Saccharomyces cerevisiae S288C: one gene and its partner. The gene in region 2 interacts genetically with the main gene of each other region. Each region holds a gene or a part of one and is shown on either strand. Other genes may lie near its edges.

Region 1 (3,078 bases), 280 kb from region 2:
AGGAAATGCCCTTTCATAGAGCGGACGTACCACAACGCGCATGTAGTTGAGCGCCGTTCCTGCTCTGATCATACTATACTAGACAGGGAAAAATCCATTTTTAAAACGTGTGACTGTTTTCCCTGTCGGTCCCGAAGTAAGATGAGGTTGCCTAATGAATAGCAGCAAACGATACTTTCAGTATTCGTCCTTTAAAGAATTTTGCACTTTTGACCAAGACCTCTGATTTGCGAGACCTCCCAGTTCGGATGCTTTAAGACACCTCCAAATCTCTAGAAAACTCAACTACAATGCGTCCAGGTATAGAGACGAAATTAATTAAATGAAAAACTTATACGTATACGAACTATCTACCAGCCTGTAATTCACTTATTTAGAATATTTATTTAAATTTTTTTTAAAAACATCAAAAGCAGACGGACAAACGTTTTAAACCAATGACAGGGTCATGGTAATAATAATAGCTTTATCTTTTTTTATTTCTTTCACTTTCGGTTGGTGAAATCAAGTACTTAAAAGACCTAACAAACTCTACAATTTGCGCCTTTCTTTCCCCTAATAGAACATGTTAGATTTATAAGCGAAAACGGAAAAGAAAACTACAGCCCAGCAATAAGAGTGCAAATCAAAGTGTGCATGAAGTGACTCGTATCGAACAAATATTTAGCCACTCGTTCAAGCCTGGCCGGCCAAATCCAAAAGATAATCTTTGGCCTCACCAATGATATTAGCGATGACTTCGCCGTCCTTTAGCACATAACCATGTGATTTATCCTCGCTTAAAACTGTTTGAATTTCATAGTTCTTTTTCTCTTGCTTCTTCAAAAACTCCTGGTACCCACTGACTGTCGTCAGTTCAACAGGTGCGCTTTGCAAGAAAGAACCGGTAGAATGAGTAAAATTTGTGCTTTGTTTGTATAGAGCAGATGACATGTTATAGTATAATGTAATTTATTGTAGTTGGTAACTTGAGCCCCTATCGAATGAAGAGTGCGCCGCTTTCCCTTATACAAACTGGAGCCGCAAGTCCTTTGTCCCTTTTATAATAATGAGATGATCCGGTGATAACTACTTATTGCCAGAAAAAGCCCAGATCAGATAATTAATGGGGGCAAACCAAAACAAGAAAAAAAACCGCGAAATGAAGTGCGGGTCAAAAAGAGGAAAAAGGAATATGGATAACATGTATGCGCGCACTGACGTAACTGCACGTACTTCAGAAGCAACATATATTCAACAAAACTAAGCAAGAAGATATTATTAGCTGTAACTATATCACATTTAGACTTACCCCTATCGTTCATACTTCCCACTGCAACCCTAGTTGTAGTTCTGCTAATAGTCGGCCAATCTTGAACATGTACTGTAAGGCCCAAAAGGGCTCCAGGGATGCCCTTCTACAAAGCATTTCACATGCTAATAAAAGCCCCGTTACATAATAACATCTCCCGCCCACAAAAGCGTTTGATCCTGTTTTTCTATTTGCTTCCATAAAAAATCGGATCACATTTCCTTTTCTTCCGCCTTAGATCTGCACCGAGATCTTTTGCGCTCTATTTTACCCCTAGAAACTGGACCCGGCCTAGAATCTTTCACTGCCACCAGAGAGTTTTAGCCTCGCTCTCTTTTAATTTGCTGAAAAAGGGTTTCCTGATAGAAGCCGCGGTTAATAGAAAAACGGCAAAAAAGTTATGGTCGGTATGTTCTACCCCCCTGGATATAATCGTGTGACTAACATACGTAATGAATCCTAGCTGTGACTCCTCTCGAACGAAGAAGAAAGAGGCAATGCATGCGTAGAAACTAAATCTTGAGATTTCTGTTTGATGAAAACACTGCACAAGGTAAAATGAATTATTCTTTTAAAATTAGAGATACATAAAACATACACTTGATAGAAAGAAGAATACATATTAATTTAATGTCACCATATTATAAAAATAAAATTTGTTATCGTCCTAGCTTTTTTTTAAAGCTTCTTTTTCAGCTTATGCAATAGCCCCTTTTTATGTTTTGGTTTTTCCTTTGCCGCCGATGAAGAGGAAGAGGATTCGGTTGTCTTAGAATTGTTCGTGACATTCTTCACTCCAGCATCACGATGGCGGTGGTGGTGATGATGATGGTGGGGCTGAGTAGCATCTGTAGTAGTAGTAGTAGTAGTATTGTTATTAGATGGTCTCGCAGAATCCTTAGTTTCCTTCGTGGAAATAGATCTTGATGGGCCATTTTTCGTGCTTACTTCAGTCTTTTTTGTTTGTTCAGTAGCCACTGAAACCTTCGATTGGTTATCGTTAACAGCTGCGTTGACAACAGGCTTAATATTTGCATCTTTAATGAGTGGAGTCTTAGTGGCAGCATCGTCTTTGGCCTGGGTATTTTCGTTATTTTCGCCACCAGTAACAGCAATTTTGGGTATTTGATCAATTTTTCTACTTAGTGCATCAACGGCGTCACCATCTGGCAAAAGCTTACTTTCCGTGCCTAAGGTGTTGTTATTGGTGGCGTTGGAAGATTCTGCACTGGATTTCGCATCCCTAATGGATTTACCGTCCTCATCAAACCTTAAGTAGTAATTTTTAGATGTTGGAATTGTTTCTGGTAAAGTGGCGCCCGCAACACCATATGAGCCAACGGTAGGCACCTTCACCAAAGAATTTCTTTTTTCAGTACTTTCTGTGGCCAATGGCTTTTTACCAGCAGATCCGGCTGTATCGTTATCAACAGCTTTGACTACACCGGTTTTGCTGCTAGAAGAAGAAGAAGATAATGAAGGCGAGGAGGCTGAGGATAAAGAAGACGGATCATTGTTGGCATGAGTGGCAGCATGTGCCTCATATCCATTGGCAGAAGAGGCAGGCTGTTTCTCACCGAGTTCTTGGTGCAACTTCTCATTCGCAGACCCTTTTCTTTGAACTAGTTCTTTTTCGTTATTCGAATTAAATTCAGGGGAGGGAATTTTTTCAAAGACTTCTTGTTTTGGTGGGTTTTGCACGTTAACTACATGCTTTGGCACAATGCCATTTGCAACGTCATCATGGGAAGATTTCAAAATACTAGAGAAAAGGAAGAAAATAGCAA
Region 2 (3,277 bases):
GTCTTTGATTCTAGTATTCAAATTAGTACCGAAGATAGCCTTTAGCATCAACTGAACACATTGACTACCGATATAAGCCAAAGTAGAATTCCAGACACATGCCATGACGACACGGTTGATGACAATCCAGATGGAGAAGTAGATACCAAATGATACTCTTGAGGAAATGGGGAAAGAGATATGGTAATTGTTCCCCACTTTGGAACCCAGTATCAAGAAAAATGCGACAAACGTGTATCCAACCCAAATACAGATCCAAGTCTGCCACCAGTTAAGCCCTAACTGTAGCCCAGTGGCTGAGATTTGCCATGTATTGACGTTAAAGGACCCAGAAATCCAAAAGAAAATGTACTGCTTCCATGTCCACGTTCTTCTTTTTGCCTCCACGGGCCGCAGATCTGTGTTGTACAAGTACGTCGAACGGAGGGACTCCTGTAAATCTTTAAATGTCCTAATTGGATTTTCGGGCTTATGATCGGCCAAATCGGTAGAGTCATTCTTAACCTCAAAAAACTCGACAACTCTTTGCAGCCAAGACACCTTTTCGTCATCCTGAGCAATGGTTATATTGTTTTCTGAATCGGTATCTTTTTTTTCAATGACATTAGCATCAATCTTAGAAGTAATTTTAGTCGCATCACCCATCTCGGACTCTTTCGTGATTTCTTCGTAATCCTCCGTCGGTATAGTGTCGTCCTTCATTGTTTTTGAAGAATTATCGAATCCAGAATCAGATACCGGCATTTTCTCTTATATAGAATTAATGAATGAGAGGACTAGTTACCGCCTTTTATTTCCGCAATGTGCTGCAAAGTAAAGCAAAGCTGTCCAATACTATGTTTTAAATTTTACAAGAAGGTCGAAGCAATACTACTGTTATATAAAAGATAGGATAGCATGTCATCGAGTAATTGAGCAAGAGAGGAAATGAAAAACTTTTCCGTTGGAGAATTGATCAAAAATTTTCAAAAATACGACATGTCCCTGTGTTGTCCAGGCTGACACAATAGTTTCAGTAGCGAGAACCGCCAAGTTTTATTGCAGCATCCTTTAATGGCAAAGATGGCGCGATAAGGACGAAACCGGCAAATCCCGAGCATCAACCACAGTGAACGCCGCGGAGAAACTCAAAGGCGAAAGGGGAGAAAAAAAGAAATTAATGGCACATACCGCTTTGTGGCATGGCTCAATCACATTTCTTTTTCTTCTTTCTGATCGCCCGCAGGAGAGGCAGCGCCGTTTGTGTCCCATCGCAAGGACAAACTAGCTAGGACATGAGACTTCTAAGCCGTTCAGTCGAAAGAGTTAGGGCATTAGTCTCTAAAGATAAGTGTGGGGGCTTGGTTGAGTCTTGATTTAAAAGCTTGGAGTAGGCATTTTACGATCTATTTTCTCTCGAAATAAAGTAAAGGTATTGCTGCAAAGGAATTGCCGTAATATTTAAAACTTCTTGCTTAAGTGATGTAAAGGCAGTGAGGCGATAGCAATGTTTCGTAGAGCCTGTGACTAGTGAAGCATAGGCAATAAATTGTTTTTTTTTTCTGATTTTGTATTGCCGTCTCTGCGTCGCAGAGATTTGGTGTTCGTACGGAGCGATAATTGTTTTTATCTTTTCCAACTTAAAGGATCGAGGAAACTCAAAGGGTGGCAAAAACAAGCGGTATAATACAAGGTGAACTGAGTTGGAAAGAGAGTAGCCAAGACTATTGAACTATAAAGTTAAACAAAATATGGCCACTATTGCATCAGAATACTCTTCGGAGGCGTCAAATACACCCATTGAACATCAATTCAATCCTTACGGTGATAATGGTGGTACAATCCTGGGCATTGCAGGTGAAGATTTCGCAGTGTTAGCAGGCGATACAAGAAATATCACCGATTACTCAATTAATTCTCGTTATGAACCCAAGGTTTTTGATTGTGGTGATAACATAGTCATGTCGGCGAATGGATTTGCAGCAGACGGCGACGCTTTAGTAAAAAGATTCAAAAATAGTGTAAAATGGTACCATTTCGACCACAACGACAAAAAACTATCTATAAACTCTGCAGCAAGGAACATTCAACATCTTCTGTACGGGAAGAGGTTTTTCCCTTACTACGTTCATACGATCATTGCGGGTCTTGACGAAGATGGTAAGGGCGCTGTCTATTCGTTCGACCCAGTTGGCTCCTACGAAAGAGAACAGTGTAGAGCAGGTGGTGCTGCGGCATCATTGATCATGCCATTTTTGGACAATCAGGTTAATTTCAAAAATCAATATGAGCCAGGTACAAACGGTAAAGTCAAAAAGCCTTTGAAATACTTGTCCGTGGAAGAAGTCATCAAACTGGTGAGAGACTCGTTCACTTCTGCTACAGAAAGACATATACAAGTGGGTGATGGGCTGGAAATCCTTATTGTCACCAAGGATGGTGTAAGGAAAGAATTTTATGAGCTAAAAAGAGATTAATGCATACATATCATAGTATAAAAAGAAATAGACCAATATCAACATCAATTTTATGTATTTTTTTTTTCTTTTGGTATAGCATTGATATATTGAAATTTGTATATATTGCTGCGAACACTATTTAAAACAGGTTTTTTTTTTATTTTGGCAGTTTGAAACCCTTTCCTCTGATGACTTTAGTGTAGTAAATGTAAAAGAAATCAGAGTACAACAGAGTTTGCAAAAGTCCCGCGAAGAAGGCAATCTTGTCCAATTTTTTATCTTCCGTGCTGTACCTCCAAATCCAGTTAGGAATATACAATGCTCTGTATAATCCCATGGCAAAAATATAATGAACAGTTAGACTTCTAGTCTTCCCACCCTTAGATAGCATGTACAATTGAGGTAGAATAGCCACACTCTCCAACCATACAGAAAAACTCCATGCTAATTCAAGAAAAGTGAACTTGTGATGGAAAAAAACACTCATTAGAGCACTCCCAATTAGTAAATGCTGGATCTTAAAGGTATCATGCATAAGCATTTCATTATACGCAATGGTGTTGGTTCTTTTAGACCCTTGTAATAGCACTACAATGTAAGCGGTAGATACAATGAAAAATATTTTCATTAGAGCATTGTATAGGGATACCCAGTGAAAAGTCAAGAGATCCAAGTATCGTGTTATGAAAACCAAAGCGTACAACGTTTGGGTCTTGAAAGAAATACCTTCAATGTACCTTGTGGTCTTGATATTATGAATCAGGATCAGTATACTGGTTAGATGTGATAAATCACCTGTCTTGATGGTCGGGAAAAAGCCCTTTCTCTGTTAGTAAGAT

The links.
Region 1: of PRE7 (region 2) and YBR085C-A, changing one enhances a phenotype caused by changing the other (phenotypic enhancement), as found in Saccharomyces cerevisiae (one study listed by BioGRID).

What each region holds. Positions count from the first base shown.
Region 1 is NC_001134.8:418,232-421,309, forward strand, and holds YBR085C-A (uncharacterized protein), read right to left. Parts: upstream 934-3,078; coding exon 676-933; downstream 1-675. Other genes in the region: IST2 (Ist2p), read right to left, coding at 1,970-3,078.
Region 2 is NC_001134.8:139,517-142,793, forward strand, and holds PRE7 (proteasome core particle subunit beta 6), read left to right. Parts: upstream 1-1,730; coding exon 1,731-2,456; downstream 2,457-3,277. Other genes in the region: FUI1 (uridine permease), read right to left, coding at 1-744; ERD2 (Erd2p), read right to left, coding at 2,596-3,233. UniProt on the Saccharomyces cerevisiae protein: Non-catalytic component of the proteasome which degrades poly-ubiquitinated proteins in the cytoplasm and in the nucleus. It is essential for the regulated turnover of proteins and for the removal of misfolded proteins.